2 linked regions of the Xenopus tropicalis genome follow. The protein of the gene in region 1 interacts with the protein of each later gene in a biochemical or structural test. Links are inferred from orthologs where the notes say so. Each region holds a gene or a part of one and is shown on either strand. Other genes may lie near its edges. The genes, in order: rrm1 and rrm2.1.

What was found.
Region 2: the proteins of rrm1 (region 1) and rrm2.1 form a complex in vitro, tested with the Homo sapiens proteins (3 studies listed by BioGRID and IntAct). The link is inferred for Xenopus tropicalis from reciprocal best matches to the Homo sapiens genes RRM1 and RRM2.

The regions. Positions count from the first base shown.
Region 1 is NC_030678.2:178,095,329-178,104,900, forward strand, and holds the end of rrm1 (ribonucleoside-diphosphate reductase large subunit), read right to left. Parts: intron 9,341-9,572; coding exon 9,261-9,340; intron 8,899-9,260; coding exon 8,697-8,898; intron 6,910-8,696; coding exon 6,760-6,909; intron 5,795-6,759; coding exon 5,573-5,794; intron 5,455-5,572; coding exon 5,378-5,454; intron 4,103-5,377; coding exon 3,967-4,102; intron 3,539-3,966; coding exon 3,443-3,538; intron 3,067-3,442; coding exon 2,878-3,066; intron 985-2,877; coding exon 781-984; 3' UTR 552-780; downstream 1-551. UniProt on the Homo sapiens protein: Provides the precursors necessary for DNA synthesis. Catalyzes the biosynthesis of deoxyribonucleotides from the corresponding ribonucleotides.
Region 2 is NC_030681.2:138,193,721-138,202,935, reverse strand, and holds the end of rrm2.1 (ribonucleotide reductase M2, gene 1), read right to left. Parts: intron 8,595-9,215; coding exon 8,448-8,594; intron 6,890-8,447; coding exon 6,773-6,889; intron 5,378-6,772; coding exon 5,244-5,377; intron 5,043-5,243; coding exon 4,948-5,042; intron 4,806-4,947; coding exon 4,672-4,805; intron 4,585-4,671; coding exon 4,480-4,584; intron 4,361-4,479; coding exon 4,247-4,360; intron 3,393-4,246; coding exon 3,240-3,392; 3' UTR 2,943-3,239; downstream 1-2,942. UniProt on the Homo sapiens protein: Provides the precursors necessary for DNA synthesis. Catalyzes the biosynthesis of deoxyribonucleotides from the corresponding ribonucleotides. Inhibits Wnt signaling.

The sequences.
Region 1 (9,572 bases):
ACACTCCAGAGACTATTAATCCCAGTGTTCGATATTTTACTTCCTCACCGTTTATCCAATTCCAGGTGGAAGTTTTGGTTTTGTTCTGTTACCACCTCTACACCCCTATCTACCCCCGCTAGCCACCTTTTCTCCTCTCTACACCCCTATCTACCACCGCTAGCCACCTTTTCTCCTCATCCCTCCACTCTTTTCCTTACATTCCCTTACTCTACTATCCTTTTATACAGGAAAATATGTTGAAGGCAAATTTCCCTCAAGTTTAGGCTTTCAGATGGTTTACAAAGAAGGATCTGGACCAGCAGCAAGGCCAATACCGATCCAGAGACTCCAGTCATCCTCAATTACTAGGCCCAAGATATTATAAGATGCTGAATCTCTAAGTTACATATCCTAGAAAATGATTGACTTGATTGCTAACTGTACCTGTGAATTCAACATCATGAATTACGGAGTTATTTCAAAAGGCTCAATATTGCTTAGTAAATGTGCCCCTTTTGGATGCGTCAGATTCTGTATTTAAAAAAAAAAACCCCCACACAACTAGAAAGTATTTGCTTTTTTTTCCATTTTAATTTTTTTCTGAAAAAAAGAGGCAAAAGCTCCGGCAAATCAATCTCTGAGATATGTGGTTGGTGCCACAGACTTGTAACTGTCTCGGAGCCTAGAAACACCGGAGAGTCCAGGAATAACCGCTACCCTCAGGGAAGTGCCTAACAGGCCCAGAGAAAAAGCACAAGATTTCCAGTCTCTATTCAGATGCACCCGGGCCCCCCCGCGCTAAGAGCCGCACATAAGGCACTCATCTCTGTTCTCCAGCGAGCAAACCATGGCCGCCTTGTTCTTCTCTTTCTCCTCCTTGTCCTTCTCCATAGTCTCCTTGGATATCAGCTCCTTTTCCTTTAACTTCTCCTTATTGAGTGTGAACTGGATGGGATTGGCAGCCGGCCGCGTGCGCAGGTAGTACATTCCTGTCTTCAGCCCCTGCCGGGAGAATATGGGGGTTAGACTTGATGTACACAGAACCAGCCAGAGTGTGGGCCCAGTTACTAACACCGGGTTCTATGGGTTACAGCCCACGTACAAAGCAGCCCAATCAGGGATTAGTATTCTGCCAGTTAAATCAGTTACAATCAGTTACAATCTTTATTTTGAAAAACTAAAACTATTAATTGTAAGACATGCAATTATTATACCTATTGAACCTCGTAGGAATATCACTCAAGGTTCAACACTTAATAAAACCGACAAAAAAAAGGTTGAAATCTGACTGGCATTATGGTTGAACGTGATGGACGTATGTCTTTTTTCAATCTAACTTACTATGTTACTATGACTATGACTGGTTACCACGAGTTACTGCCTTGACATGAAAGGACATATTTCTACTTAAATTTCTATTTCTCTCCCTCAGCCCCAAAGGCAGCACTTGAGATGCTCCAGCCTGTAGGCAGCAAAACCACCACCCAAGGTTCAACCCAGCACAACCCCCTGCCACTCCCAGGGTCAGACTGGGGGGTACAGGGCCCATTGGGGCCCCACAAACCCCTCCCCTGAGCACACCTGCTTTAGTCTTACCTTAGGAGCGACACAAGGTTTGGGTCTAGGACAGCTGGGCCGCCAGGTTTTTTTCCCAGTGCACCATTGGCCCAGTCTGACCCTGGCCTCTCTCATTGCACAAAGTCACCCTGCAGAGTTAATCCCCGATACATAGGGAGAGAAATACTGCGCTGCCTGTGGCTACCACAATGTACATGAGAGACGGGAACATTAGGGAGGCGGCTAAAATCCTAAAAATCGACCTTAGTCCTATGGCCTGAGCCCTGGTAACATAGTAAGTTGGGTGGACACACGTCCATCACGTTCAACCATAATGACAATATATAACCTGCCTAATTACTAGTTGATCCAGAGGAAGGCAAAAAACCCCATCTGAAGCCTCTCTAATTTGCTGCAGAGGGGAAAAAATTCCTTCCTGACTCCAAGATGGCAATCGGACCAGTCCCTGGGGCAACTTGTACTGAGAGCTCTCTCCCCTACCCCTGTATTCCCTCACTTGTACTGAGAGCTATCTCCCCTACCCCTGTATTCCCTCACTTGTACTGAGAGCTATCCCCCCTAACCCTGTATTCCCTCACTTGTACTGAGAGCTATCCCCCCTACCCCTGTATTCCCTCACTTGTACTGAGAGCTATCCCCCCTACCCCTGTATTCCCTCACTTGTACTGAGAGCTATCCCCCCTACCCCTGTATTCCCTCACTTGTACTGAGAGCTATCTCCCCTACCCCTGTATTCCCTCACTTGTACTGAGAGCTATCCCCCCTACCCCTGTATTCCCTCACTTGTACTGAGAGCTATCCCCCCTACCCCTGTATTCCCTCACTTGTACTGAGAGCTATCCCCCTACCCCTGTATTCCCTCACTTGTACTGAGAGCTATCCCCCCTACCCCTGTATTCCCTCACTTGTACTGAGAGCTATCTCCCCTACCCCTGTATTCCCTCACTTGTACTGAGAGCTATCTCCCATAACCCTGTATTCCCTCACTTGTACTGAGAGCTATCCCCCATACCCCTGTATTCCCTCACTTGTACTGAGAGTTATCCCCCCTACCCCTGTATTTCCTCACTTGCTGAAAATGGTGACTTAGTGGGTCATAATACAAGACAGGGAGGTTCTGTTCTATCCTGTAGCAGAGCTCTTTTGTACCTAGTGGGATGAGCTTCTCTTGCTACATGTTGCCTGGGGATGTGAAGGTTTTTAGTCTTGTTAAAAAAAAAAAACTTATTGTAAAATAACCCAATATCAATTTCCACATAATATGGTCGCTACTAACGGAGTGTAAGTTGGGTTTGAACAGGAGAATAAGTTCGTTACCTGCTTCCAGCCAAAGAAGTGCATGCTGGTGAGTTTGCCGTAGTTTGGCTCTGCGACATGGATGTTCAGTGACTGGCTCTGGTCGATGAACGCTCCTCTGTCTGCCGCCATTGTAATCACCGTCTTCTGAGATATTTCCCACACCGTCTTGTACAGCTCTTTCAGATCAGCAGGGATGTCTGGGACATTCTAGGGAGACGGGACAATAGAACGTTAGAGACAGACACAAAGCACATCCCAGTGACACTAATGGGGCAGACTCTGGACTCTGTCCCATGAAGAGTTAAAGCCTCAGCAGCTTCTACAGCATTAAAGTATTTCAAATAAAACTTCAGCCCAATTATATTGGCCTAAATGTAGGCTGGACCAGAATCAACTGGATACCTACAATCACCAATTCTTAATTCTTTTCAACATTATCCATACAATCTTATAATAGATGGATCATAGACCAAGAATGTTCCAAGCCAGGAATAAATGGAATATACAGAATAGCCCCTCTACAATGTCTATAAACAATTCCACTGGGATGAGCCCCACAGCCAGCAGCGGCCCAGACCCATACCTGTATGGAGCCATTGTTGGCAATAATCTGATTTTTCATTTCTTCGTTCCACAGCCCTCGCTCTGTCAGGTCTTTCATTAAATGTGGGTTCACAATCTGTAAGAGAAAAGTTACAAGCCTTTAGGGTACATAAAGTGTCTGTTACTCACAGAAGCCAGGTCATTTCCCAGGGTGCCACAGCCATGTGACCTGTGCTCTGATAAACTTCAGTCACACTTTACTGCTGCGCTGCAAGTTGGAGTGATATCCTCCCCCCTCAGCAGCCGATCAGCAGAACAATGGGAAGGGAGCAAGATAGCAGCTCCCAGTAGGTATCAGAATAGCACTCAATAGTAAGAAATCCAAGTCCGGCTTGGGACTCCTCCAGTTACATGGGAGTAGGAGAAACAATAGGTTAGCTGAAAGCAGTTCATGTGTAGCGCTGGCTGAAAGCTCAGACTCAGGCACACTTTACTATTTCATACAAAATAGAAAGTTGCAACTCTACATGCAACAACATTAGACGTATGTAGGCCGAGACCTACCTGGAACTCGCCAGACAGGACTCTGCGTGTGTATATATTGCTGGTATATGGCTCAATGGACTCATTATTGCCCAGGATTTGTGCAGTGGAAGCCGTGGGCATTGGAGCCAGAAGCAAACTGTTCCGGACGCCGTATCTAGGGGAAAAAAAACCAAAGAATTAACAAGGCTTAAGGTTTGAAAGCCTAACATGGTAAAACAGTGCTGGCAGCTGGGTTTCAATGTGACAGTAAGCACACTGACTCACTGGGGAGGTGGGAGAGTTTCAGTATTAACATGGGAACACTAGTTATACACACACCAATCCCAGAGGAGTACGCTTAGAAAGCCATAACACCTTGTTTAAGACTAACTGGCAATTATCCATTATATAATGGGCTTTTAGGTGCAATTAAGCCCTATGAATACCTCGCAGACTGTAAACACAAAGATAATCAATGTAATTTACACAGTGAATTCCAAAACAAAGAGAAAACGTATTGGATAAACAGGCAACAGGAAGAGCAGGAAGATAAATAGAAGATAGATATATAACACATATACTGGCAGGTACCCTATACAGTAAATCAGGGGTCAAACTCAGACCCCTCAGACTGTTGGAGGCTGGACTACAGTTATTAGCCCCCCCCAGCGCCCTCACCAGCTGGGGGGGCAGCGCACAACAGCACAGCGTTACACATCAGTAGTGTCACCCAGTGGGACATGGTGTTGTGAAGCAATGGGGCAAAAAGCCACACTGAGGAAGGTAGGTGAGAATTCAGTGGGGGGGGGGGCGGGTATATCCAGCCAGCGGGTCGTAGTGGAGGGTCCCCGCCCTAAACTATGGGCTCTGTTGGTACCTTACACATACAGGCTTAACTGAAACATATGAAATGGGTCAAGAGAAACACATTTAGTTGCTGAACTAACATCCAGGGGCTGTTGAGTATGTCATATATAAACCCATACTATATAGGATGGTGACGGGGAAGTCATCATTAAAGGGGATGTTCACCTTGGAGTTAACTTTTAGTATAATGTAGAAGAGTAACATCGAGAATTTGCAATTGGTCTTCATTTTTTATTTGTATTTTTTTTTATTTCAGTTTTTGTTCAGCAGCTCTCCTGTTTGGAGTTTCAGCAGGTATCTGGTTGCTAGGGTCCAAGTTACCTTAGCATCCAGGGTGTGGTTTAAATGAAAGACTGATAGCTGAATAGGGGAGGGGCTGAATAGAAAAACTAAAAAAGTAGCAATAACATTTTAACAGTTTTTTGGCTGCGGGGGTCAGTGACTGCAAAAAGTTAGAAGGCGGCAAATAATTAAAAAAACTATAAAGACCAACTGAAAAGTTGCTTAGAAGTGGCCATTCTATACTAAAAGTTAACTGTAAGCACTTTACCAAGGCATTATAAGCCAGACAGACACTACTCACTTTGCAATCTTCTCCTTCAAGGCAGCCCAGTCCCAGAGACCTGTGGGAGTTACATTCCACATGTCGTACTGTAGGATCTGCGAGAGACAAGATGGATACACACAAACCCAGCTGTAATTCTATAACCAGAACCATAATACACATCTGCAAGTTACAGGCAGTGGGGTCTGTATTCCAGTTTTACCCCATTCTTACCCCTTTACTGACGGGGCTCCCTTCATACGTATCATACGGACCCAGCTCCTTGGCCAGCTCACAGCTGGATTCCAGCGCAGCGTAATAAATGGTCTCAAATATTTGCTTGTTTAACAGCTGAGCCTCCTCACTCTCAAACGGGTATCTCATGAGGATGAAGGCGTCTGCCAAGCCCTGCACTCCAATCCCGATTGGCCGATGCCTCTTGTTGGAATATTCGGCCTGTAGGAAAGATTTGATCACAAAATAAAAAAATCATAAAAATGGTGCAAAACAATGAAGGAAACATTAAACAGGGCAGCTTAGTTATGCCACAGCAGTACAGGCCGCAGCAGGAAGCCGACGTACAGATATGAATTAAATGGCAATTGGACAAATGGCACTAAACTAATGTTCCATACATTGTAAATAATCAAACGCATCAATCAAAGCAGATGTAGGTTAAATACATTTTACAGTACATTAACAAGAATGTGAAGGGATTTACCCAGTTTAAAGCCGAGCGCTGGCAATATCTTCTATTTTGTGTGCGTGCAAATAATGGTTGTACAGGTATAGCACCCGTTATCCAGAATGCTCGGGAACAAGGGTATTCCGGATAAGGGGTCTTTACGTAATTTGGATCTCCATACCTTAAGTCTACTAAAAAATTAATAAAACATTAAACCCAATAGGGCTGTTCTGCCCCAATAAGGGGTAATTATATCTTAGTTGGGATCAAGTACAGGTACTGTTTTATTATTAAAAATTGATTAAAATGGAGTCTATGGGAGACGGCCTTTCCGTAATTTGGCACTTTCTGGATGTGTTTCCGGATAAGGGATCGGATACCTGTACTATATTGTGTGCTCTGAGGCACATATCTAATATATAGACAGATCCTGCCATTTACTACATATAAAACGGTAACTCAGATCCTGGGTTGGTCAGTTTTGTATATGAAATGACTCCCTGTACCTCTCTGTATATAAAGGAGAAGGAAAGGTGCCAAGTTGTACAGAATATATATACCCGGAAGTGTAGAATTTTTCACTGCACATGCCGACATTTCCAAATCTTAATTAGGATTTGCATTCCGTTCCCTTAATATGGATTTGGCCGAACCAAAAAACTGGGCTCGGTGCACCCCTATTTGTAACAGCTCACAATTTCGCTTTTCTTTTTATTTATGGAACAAAGAGACTCACCTCGGGCACAGGATAAAAGTTTATTTCGATAATTTTGTTCAAATTTCGGACAATGACTTTGGTAACATCGGCCAACTTCTTGAAGTCAAAGCTGCGCTCTGGAGTCACGTACATGTTCAAGGCTAAAGAGGCCAAGTTACAGACCGCAACCTACGGGAGGGGCAGAGGAATGATAATAATGAGAGGGAAAATGAGACAAGGAAGGTAAAGGAGAAATGTTGTGTAGAAGACAGATACACTGTTACAGATTCAGCATGACAAAAGGAAGACTTCAGGGTATGAACCCACAGAGCGGTTCAGTGGCCACAATAGATCTCTATTATGAGTGACTTTGATTTCCACCGGCAACAATTGAAGTCGCTGGTGGAAACCCTTCAGATCGCTTTGGTAATCCCCAAGTTTCCTCCTGTAGGCAACTTCTGAAGACAAAGCGATGCAAAGGGTTTTCCACTGGCAACTTCAATTAATGCCGGCGGAGAGCCATTTCGGAGTGGTTTGCCACCCGCGATAGAGATCTATTGTGGGCCACTGAACCGCTCCAAGGAAAGGCTAAGTCACTTGGGGGTGCTAAAATGTTAGGCACCCCCAAGTGACTAATCGCTTACCTCGTACCCCGGGCTGGTGCCCCTGTTAGGAGAAAACAGCACCAGCCCGGGGTACCTGGAGCGATGGGCTTCCTTCTTCCGCCTGCGTTTCGCTAAGACTTACACGCAGGTGCATGCGCAGTAGAGTGAAAAGCAGACTTCTGTTAAAGTTCCACTATTCACTCTACTGTGCATGCGCGCGCAGCGCTACAGGAAGGAGGAAGCGCTGCAGCTACCCCGGGCTGGTGCTGGTCTCTCCATACAGGGACACCAGCCGGGGTAAAAGGTATGCGATTCAAGTCACTTGGGGGTGCCTAACATTTTGGCAACCCCAAGTGACTGCCTTTCTTTCTCCTTTAACTAAATCTAAAGGCTAAGATAATTATTGTTATTATTCTAGCTGTCTCTCTGGTAAGCAAATAGTGCTTCAATGATTATAATGTTTAGATGTGTTACCACAAAATACCAAGATAAAAAAAAAACAGGGAGACTAAAAAAAAGTAATTGTTAATCTAATGTTTAGCCTCTTGTGAACATACAGTATATACCCAACCTGATAAGCTGGTCAAATGTCTGCAGCTACAAAAGAAAAATGTGAGAACTGTTTGTCTTTAATACTCCAACACTAAACCCACCTACTCAGCTTAATGGCAGAGTGGCTTTCCTTTGGGGTGAGAAACACAGGCTGACAACAGGTTTAACCCAGTGATCCCCAACCAGTGGCAACATGTTGCTCCCCAACCCCCAGGATGTTGCTCCCAGTGGCCTCAAAGCAGGGGCTTATTTTTGAATTCAAGTCTTGGAGACAAGTTTTGGTTGCATGAAAACCAGATGTACTGCCAAACAGAACCTTCTGTTTGCCTGTCCACATAGGGGCTACTCAATAGCCAATCATAGCCCTTACTGGCCACCACCTAGGAACTTTCATGCTTGTGTAGATATGGGTAGTCAGAAGGGGCAAATTCTAAGTGCTTTAGGAGACACAAAGGAGTGGCTAAAGAGGCACGAAGCACTGGAGTGGGACACAATGTACATTGCCAAAAAGTAACTGAAAAGCCGAGGAAATCACGCTATTTTGTTACGCTATTTTAAAACCAAAACATATGCTCCCGATTGGTTTTCATGGCGATATAAATACACAAGATACAATATGTATCTAAATTTGAATTTGGTTTCTAGGCTGGCAATTTATATGCCAAAACCTTTAGCAGATTAAAACTAAACACTATCACATGTTTTCAGCAATAGTTTCTCTTTTAAAGGCATCTTTATTGAGCATCTTATTCTCCATTCTACCGAATGTAAATGGGAAGAAAAAGTTTGATAGCCCAGAAAGCCATACGCTGCCATTACCTCGTCGTCACTGGTGTACTCCACGATCTCTGTGCACAGGTTACTGCACTTAATGGTGCCCAGGTTCTGCTGATTGCTCTTGCGGTTACAGGCATCCTTGTACAGCATGTAGGGAGTGCCAGTCTCCGTCTGCGACTCTATAATGGCGTACCACAGCTGCTGGGCCTTCACCACCTTACGGGCTCGTCCTTCCTGCTCATATCTGTGGAAGCCAAAACAGCGTAAGGGATTTTACACCAATTACATTTTGCAATAAGCCAATCACTAACATTTAAGGCAGAAAATAATATACACCTCTTAATTCATAAAGGATTCAGAGAAAGAAAAATAATCCCACTGCCTACACCAATCATTTCAGCAAAAAAGGTAATTTCTTACTAACAACAATTACTAACACTCCCCCTCCCCTTTAACTGCCGGTACAAACTGATTTATAGACTGTGAGCCCATATTTGTTTATTGTGTGCATATCTATATGTAGAGCTATTTAGGCACACATTCTAAACAACTATGGGACGATGGTTCAAAAACTAATCAGCGCACAGATGAGGAATAGAATTGTACCTTTCATAGAGCTCTTCAAACTTGTCTCCCCACACTTCTTCCAAGCCAGGACATTCATGAGGACACATTAACGACCAATCCTGAAAGACAAAATGGTATGCAGTTTTATTTCTTGCCCTTAAGAGGATAATTATTGATGGCTGTTTGCTCAGAACCTCTCCAACATCAGGCTGTGGGGGTCACTGACCCTGGCACCATGATAGTATAATCCTTAGCCCAGTGTTATTAAATGCTCAGTGCATTCTATGCAGCCCCGTTACTGCTCACTGACTGGGGAAGCCATGTCACTGCAAATATGAAGCACAATTTAAA
Region 2 (9,215 bases), on another chromosome or scaffold:
CATTTATATTTGTGGAACCATAGTGGTTCACAATGTGTGTGTGTGTGTGTCTATACACACACAGAAGCCTCAGATAACCTTCAGAATTATAACTTCATAAATGTGACTTCAGATTTCTATGACCTGATCTGTGATCAGTTATATCCTTATAATACACACAAGCCATAAATAACAATTAAGGATAATCCTTATAATCTGTCCTTAGCAATGGCATTTGTGCCACATTACTTACATTATGTACTCTGTTAAAATATAGATATTAAAGTCACTTTGAAGTTCCTTGTGCCGTTATATTGTTATGGTACAGGTATGGGTTTATTTAATGGTTAAATGATTCCCTTTTCTCTGTAATAATAAAACAGTACCTGTACTTGATCCCAACTAATATATAATTACCCCTTATTGGGGACAGAACAGCCCTATTGGGTTTATTTCATGGTTAAATGATTCCCTTTTCTCTGTAATAATAAAACAGTACCTGTACTTGATCCCAACTAAGATATAATTACCCCTTATTGGGACAGAACAGCCCTATTGGGTTTATTTCATGGTTAAAGGATTCCCTTTTCTCTGTAATAATAAAACAGTACCTGTACTTGATCCCAACTAAGATATAATTACCCCTTATTGGTGGCAGAACAGCCCTATTGGGTTTATTTAATGGTTAAATGATTCCCTTTTCTCTGTAATAATAAAACAGTACCTGTACTTGATCCCAACTAAGATATAATTACCCCTTATTGGGGGAGAACAGCCCTATTGGGTTTATTTAATGGTTAAATGATTCCCTTTTCTCTGTAATAAAACAGTACCTGTACTTGATCCCAACTAAGATATAATTACCCCTTATTGGGGACAGAACAGCCCTATTGGGTTTATTTCATGGTTAAATGATTCCCTTTTCTCTGTAATAATAAAACAGTACCTGTACTTGATCCCAACTAAGATATAATTACCCCTTATTGGGGGCAGAACAGCCCTATTGGGTTTATTTAATGGTTAAATGATTCCCTTTTCTCTGTAATAAAACAGTACCTGTACTTGATCCCAACTAAGATATAATTACCCCTTATTGGGGGCAGAACAGCCCTATTGGGCTTATTTAATGGTTAAATGATTCCCTTTTCTCTGTAATAAAACAGTACCTGTACTTGATCCCAACTAAGATATAATTACCCCTTATTGGGGGCAGAACAGCCCTATTGGGTTTATTTCATGGTTAAATGGTTCCCTTTTCTCTGTAATAATAAAACAGTACCTGTACTTGATCCCAACTAAGATATAATTACCCCTTATTGGGGGCAGAACAGCCCTATTGGGCTTATTTAATGGTTAAATGATTCCCTTTTCTCTGTAATAAAACAGTACCTGTACTTGATCCCAACTAACTTATAATTAATCCTTATTGGGTGAAAAACAATCCTATTGGGTTTATTCAATTCTTAAATGATTTTTAACAGACTTAAAGAAGAGCTAAAGCTTAGCTAAAGAAGTAGGGCAGAAATGTTGTAGATTATGTTTTAGGTTTCTGTACCAGCCCAAGGTGACTACAACCCTTTAGCAGTAGAGATCTGTGCCTCCAAAGATGCCCCAGTAGCCCCCCCAACTTCTTTTCTGCTGCTTCCCTCCACATGCTCTGTGCTGCTGTCAGTTACTGAGCTTAGGGACCGACTCAAAATATACTGCATAAATAGAGTATAAAAGCGGATTAGTAATTCACTCAGATTCACATTACATGACAGATCTAAATCCAGGGCATTTGCATTAGAATTTCCTGTTACTAGTAGCATCTTATATGACAGACAACCCTCATTTTCTGCTTGATAACTTGCAACAACCCCTAAGCATTTCTATATATATTATTTTTAGGGTTTAGCTCTCCTTTAAGTTATGGAGATCCCGAGCACAACAGACATATATATTAGCTAGTTTCAAGAAAGGGTAGGATGACTTTTTAGCCACCCACCAATCACAATTACGGTTATTGTATTTAAAAAAAGGGATATAGTCTCAAGCTGCTGACTTGCAAGTACAGTGCCCGCAGCAGGGAAGTAATTTGGATTCTTTGTTCTTAAGGGATTGTATTCAGGAATATGACTAAGAATGGCATCATAAGTAGCAATCAACACGAAGGTGGACAAGAGGGTTTTAAGGTGTAGTAAAGGCCACAATGCACCACTTAGAACTAGAACTTAAAATAATTGCATGATCATTTTAATTGTGAAGCACGGTCCATCCTTCTAGCACTGTAATTTCACAAGGTGCAGCGGTAACAAAAATTGGCACGGGCAGGTAACAAATATACTGTATACTCCAATACTGAATGATGCTCACGACCCTTGCCATTAAAATCTACTGCTATGTTTGCTAAATGCATGTAAAGCCATAAAAATTTTACTTTTGGACGGTTTCTTTTGAAAATTAGGTAGTGGTTTCTCTCTATTCACATTACTGTGAAAATATTGCCCTCTAGTGGCCATCTGTGACCACATTTTTCTTCCTTGAAGTACAATACCAGGTTCCAGGACTGGCCAAACATTACCAGTGAATGATAACAATGACTAGCACCGCACTGCCTACTCCCAGCACCATCCCAAGCTGGTAACCCAAGGCACCCGGCCAATCATTACCACCATGGAAGTTATCCTTGAGCAATATGGTCAGACACTCTTTAGTAAGAAAAAGGGCAGGCAGCTGTAATTACTGATAATTGGAAATAGCAATGTGGCACCCACAATATTTCTATCTTGTGGTGCAATATTTTTACCTATACCCTATAGAAGGACAATGGCAAACAGCAGGGAGATTATGGTCACATATAGGTTCAGACAGGTCTTCAAGCATGGCAACTGCTGCTCTAATAAGCAAAGCACCTGCACTCGGCCTTACCCTTTCAGTGAATCTGGCACCCCCCTCTGCCCAAACAAATCAGCATACCCAAATTCAATTATATATTACATTTTTATTACAACATTTTATAATCAAAGATCTATCAAAACTACAAAAGGTGTTCCTGCTCATACCAAGCTATAGAGTATTCTGTGGAGGCACCACAGAGCAAGGTAGATTTTCTGACACTGACTTACCTGCTCTCTTTATAAGCAGGGCCAAGAACAAGCAACATTTGTTTTCAAAGTGAAGGCACACATACTTTACTATAGCATGCAGACTAGAACAGAGTAAAAAACCGGCAGCATTTATAAATGCCATGCACGTTTAAACACAAATATAAGAAACATTTAAAATTCGGCATTTAAAGTGAATTGCTTGTCTGTTGCCTTGGACATGACACCCATCTTCTGGTATTCGGCAACTTTCTTCTCAAAGAAATTAGTCTTTCCTTCCAAGGATATGTTCTCCATAAAATCAAATGGATTCTCACTCTTAAAAATCTGAAAAAAAAAAAAAAAAATTCTGTATTTGCCTTCCCACAAAACCAGAGGCAAAAGTAGTATAGACCACAACTTTGAAGCCCTTTATAGACTGCACACACTAGAAGGAATCTGAAACTACAAGGAAACATGGGAGCAAAGGTTATTTCTGGTTAGCCTGCCCAAGGGTGTTACACGGGTCATTTATTTCATTATTATTCATAAATTAGCTGCCCAGTATTGTACTACAGCCATGGTTTAAAGCTTTATGAGAAAGAAAGTCAATCTAACACATTCCTTTACACCCAAAATTGGTCAAGGTCTCATAGGGCCCAAAATAAAACCAGATATCCAAGGAGCACTCTTGTATAAATTCGATGGAGGCAGTGCCAAATGGTAAGACTATGTAGGTTTAAAAGGGACATAGTGTAAAAAATTTACTTATCTAAATATAGAAGGAATGTGCTTTAAAATTTCTCAAAAAACCCAGACTAGTCTCGCTCATCTGTTACACTTCCTGCTGCCTCCTTTCCCAGGGTGTTCCGGGGGGCCTGTGCACTGCACTGTAGGATACCAACCAACAGCTAGGCTGACCTGATAGGGAACTGAAGTCTTTGCTTGTGTGACTGCAGGGACAGTTAGGACATGCCCACCCCTCATCTGAATCATGGATAGGGACAAGAGGATCTATAGGGAGCTCCAATAAAGAGGCCATTTTTACAGATAGTGTTAATTTTTAGACCAAAGCGAAACCAGCACCCACCAGCAGGATTCTCTGGTATCAGTCCAACCCTGCTTAAGTGCAGAATAAGAAATGCTTTCCCCTTAAACAGCAAAGATTTCAGAGCACTGGCAGACCACAATGTAAAAGTTACCTTTTTAAAACCTAGCTCCAGCAGAAGACGATCTGCCACAAATTCAATATACTGCTTCATCAGTTTGCAGTTCATACCAATTAGCTCCACAGGCAAAGCTTCAGTCAAGAACTCCTAGAAGAATGGAGCAGAAAAATATAGTTACCTCCAAATTACTTTGAGATTTTATAGTAGCCGAACATTAATATAATGCAGAACAGAAAAAGGGGTTACCGTACTAAGTTAAGACATACCTGCTCAATCTTGACAGCATCAATGATAATTTCCCTGACACGCTGCTCAGAGGGTTTGTGTACGACATGTTTAAACAGAAGGCAAGCAAAGTCAGTGTGTAAACCCTATAAAAAAAACAAAATGTCAACCATCAGAAATAAAGAATTCACAAGGGAGCGGAGTAAGAATAAAAAAAGAAATAAAGCAATTACTTCATCTCTGCTGATAAGTTCATTAGAGAAAGTGAGTCCAGGCATCAGCCCCCGTTTCTTCAGCCAGAATATGGAAGCAAATGAACCGGAGAAAAAGATCCCTTCAACAGCAGCAAAGGCCACAATGCGCTCGCCTAGGAGGAAGAAAAACAAAACATTTGAATCCAATATATAGCAGTAAACACAGACACGATCACCTCTCATGTGTTCCAGTCACCAAGGATAAACAGGGGATGGAGGCGGAATAATTCAGCTTGGTACTCCGATTTGTCTTACAAAAAGGTGCTTCTCTGTCGCTTATCCAACGCAGGGCCCATTCTGCCTTCTTTTTCACACAGGGTAAGGTTTCTATTGCATTGAAGAGGAACTCCCTGTAAAGTTTGCACTCCATTAGTTTCAGGTATAAGGCGCATTAAGTTTAAAACAAGTACAGTACTCTATTCTATAGAACAAGGGTTTGAGTTTCTGCAGTCCAGAGTCCTCACTTTCGCCGTCACCCATTCTGCCACATGTTGTCTGAATTTATCTACTGCTATAAATAGGGATTGGGTGCAACATAAAAACAGGCTTACCTTTCCTTGGGATCTTTAATGTAGGTGTCGATAAGAAGGCTGTACATCTCAGAATGAATATTCTCCATTGCAATTTGGAAGCCATAAAAGCAGCGAGCCTCGGTTACTTGCACTTCCTGGCTGAAGCGCTCCACCTAAAGCATTGGGAGACAGCAATGAATCAAGGTGCTGGTATTAGTAAGTTTGGTGTATGTTGCGTGCAACAAGCACATGGGATTATGTAATGTAGTGCACAGCAAAAATGCACCATTAGATGCTCACGAGAATGGGCTTGAGACAAACCCTGAGATTCAAAGTACAGTTTGTGCTTATTAGGGTAAAAACTTTGATACAAAGCATAATTTAAGTTGTGTAAAAAGGAGATCCCTTTCTTGGCCAACAAAGATAAATCATAGTAAGGAACATTTCAGTTCCTTTTTTAAAGCGGATTACAAAGAAGCTATGTAGGCTCTAATATATTTATGTATTTTATATTTGGATTGCAAGTAGAGACACACAAATGGGGAGGTTTTAAATTGCCTTTGATAAGAGATTTTGGAGTCGTCCAGGTTGCGGCTGGGGCTATTACAATGTTTTCTTCCTGGTGTGCCAATCCACACTCACCAGCACACCCTGGCCTTTCCACTCTGTTCCACCTTGTGAGCAGTATTTGGAGAGACTTTGGCACTCTTTTCTTCCTGGTGTGGCCTTTTTATTGTTTATGGTAAACCAGTGACTAGTGGTCCTTTTTCTGCGGCTTTGTCCTGTTACTTCAATGTAAATACCTCCTGTTGGACACTTTTTTTTTAGGAAATTATGCCTCAAGGAATTCTTCTATGTCATTGCAGAATTCAGTTTTGCCAATTGCTTTTCTGTGGGGCCTTTTGTGAATAATGTTAGCGCCTCTCTTGCTGGAGTATAATCTATGTGTTTACCACAAATGTTTTTTTGTGCCTGTACAGAATTTATACTGCGTTGTGGAGACGTAGCCCTTGTAGTTTTTTCAGTACAATGCAAATCCAAACTTTACATCCTCAGTCTCCATTCCAGTAATTTGACCTTGAGAATGGTTGCAGTGTTACTTTTTTTTTTTTTATGTATAACACCTTGATTAGGTGTGGTTCTTCAGTCATTCTGGTGCAGTTGTTTAGCAAAGTGGGGTGCACCATACTGGGTTCTTTAGTGCAAGGCCTTTGGGTTTTTCCTTTTTGCATCTTTTGAGGAAAAAGATGCTGCTGTCCAGATGAGTCAGTTCCTTCAGTAAGGTCTCTTCACAAAAGGGTGGGAATACAAAAGGTATGCAATACTTTAGGCTGAAGCCACACAAGGATTCTCAGCCTGCAGATAAATTCAGACCAAGAATCTGCCCCTACACTTCAAAAATCTTTGTGCCTGCACCTGGAGCCACTGTATCATGTATGTAGTTTGGCACCAAATTCCGCTTAGTGTGTCTGCACCTAGGCCAATGCAATGTCTATTTTATTAATCCATAATTTGGGCACATCCTGATATAACAACGCAGAGAAATGTATAAACGTGGCTGCACTTACCAGATTCTCATTCACAATGCCATCACTTGCTGCAAAAAAGGCCAACACATAAGAAATGAAGTATCTTTCCTCAGGCTTTAGAGCTTCCCAGTGCGGAAGATCTTTAGAAAGATCCACCTACATGACAGACAAAAGCAACCACTGAACAGAGAGACAGAAAAGAGAATTATAGCAAGGAGCACATTGTCTAAGTATAGTTTCCATTGCGGAGTACATACAGGGACAGAAAAGTAAATTGAAATTCAGTATGTGCTGGACAATTACACATGCATTATTTTTCTTCACATAATAGTATGGGATCTGTTATCCAGAATGCTTGGGATCTGGGGTTCTGATTAAGGGACCTTTATATAATTGGGAAATTCAGTCTACTAAAAATCATTTAAATAAACCCAACAGTTGTTTTGGCACCAATTTGGATTAATGCAGCTATTCTGTCCCCACAGTGATCTCTAGAAGCTGGCCTGAACTCAGTCTAACATTTGCTGCACTGTGCATTCACAGAGCCCAGGGTAACAGCTTGGCAGTATGTATGTATAACTTAATTTATAAAGCGCCACAAGGGTACGCAGCACTGTACAGTCTTACAGAATACAAAATTACACACAGGGAGGACAAGTGATATAATGAATAAATACAATATATATATATATATATATATATATATATATATATATATATCCTGATGACGATCCTGTGGTGATCGAAACGCGTAGATGGTATGCTGAAATCACTGACCTGATTGATGCTGTAGCTGTGAGTGCTTTCTACTGTTGAGTTTGATGCATTATTTTTGTCAGCACCCAGCCTGTGCCCGATACTGGCGAGTGCAGATTCTTTACAAGACTATATATTATAAGTGCCATGTGGTATGAGACAGTAGAAAGGAGGTCCCATTCAGCATTCATTAGAATTGTACCTGGGCTGGGTATTTCAGTTGAGGCAGCCTGGTTATTTAAGAATTCTGCTGTTTTTTTTTTGTTTTTTTTAATTCAGCGACATCCCATTTCAACTGGCATAGATAACACCCTACCGTTGCCCATGCTTTCTATAGCCTTGACCAATATTTTACCTCATGCACTCAAAGAACCCACCACAGACCTTTCTTCCAAGCTCCCACAATCTCACCAAACAGCACGACATTCCCTTAAGAACAGGATTTATATACTTTGGGTTCAGGGTCACTAATGCAGTCCTCCCCTTTAGACTGCAGCTTAAGATATGCCATGGGACATTTCAAGGTTCATATCATCACTTCTTTTCTTCCCTCACCCAAAGCAAATCCCTGTGAAAATCCATTACGTCATCAAATGTGGGTGGGAGTTGATCAGGAACCAGGAAGGGCATGAACATATATTAAAATGCACAAGAAGAGTTGAACAGTCCCTTGTCTTTAATACACAAAAATCCATAATATAGTGCAACTAACTAGCGATGGGCAAAATAATTTCACGCATTGCCACGCATTGCTTCCTTTGACAAGGCATCAAAGGAATGATGCACACGTTAAAAAAAAAAACTATGCATGCATCAAAAGCTGACGCCCATGTCAAAGGAAGCGACACACAGCAAATTCTACTGTCGCCACACAAATCATTTCGCCCATCCCTACTACTATACAATCATTGCTGTAGGTAATACAAACACAACCACACTGGATTTTTTGGTCTTTTACCTCTTCTGCTGTCCAGAAAGAAGCCTCCGCCTTCTTGTACATCTGCCAAATATCATGATACTCAATAGGTAGGATCACAAAGCGCCCTGGGTTATCCCTGAGGAGAGGCTCATCCTGTATTCTAGGATCTTTTAAGCTTTGACAAACCTGTAGCAAATTAACAGTTATATATATGCCATTTCTCCAAGAGCCGATAAAGAGGGTCTATATTAAAAAAAATAAAATATTCCAGCCTTCCTCCACCAATTTATAAAAATATAAATAACATAATAGTTTTTATACTTAATTGCTCTGCATCTAATGAGGTTTGTCTCAGGCTTCTAAGCAAGGAGACTTATACAGCTTATCTTTCCAAAACAAATCAATGAAACTAATCACGTGTAAAATGAAAGTGCTTCAATCTTACTGTTCCGCATGGTTACAAAATAAAATACCAGGTACAGGTATAGGATCCCTTATGCGGAAAGTTCCGAATTACGGAAAGGCCATCTCCCATAGACTACATTATAAGCAAATAATTCTAATTTTTAAAAATGATTTCCTTTTTCCCTGTAATAATAAAACAGTACCTTGTACTTGATCCCAACTAAGATATAATTACCCCTTATTGGGGGCAGAACAGTACTATTGGTATTTTTTTTAATGTTTACATGATTTTTACCAGACTTAAGTTATGAAGATCCAAATTACAGAAAGATCCCTTATCCAGAAAACCCCAGGTCTTGAGCATTCTGGATAATAGGTCCCGTACCTGTATTGGATTTATTA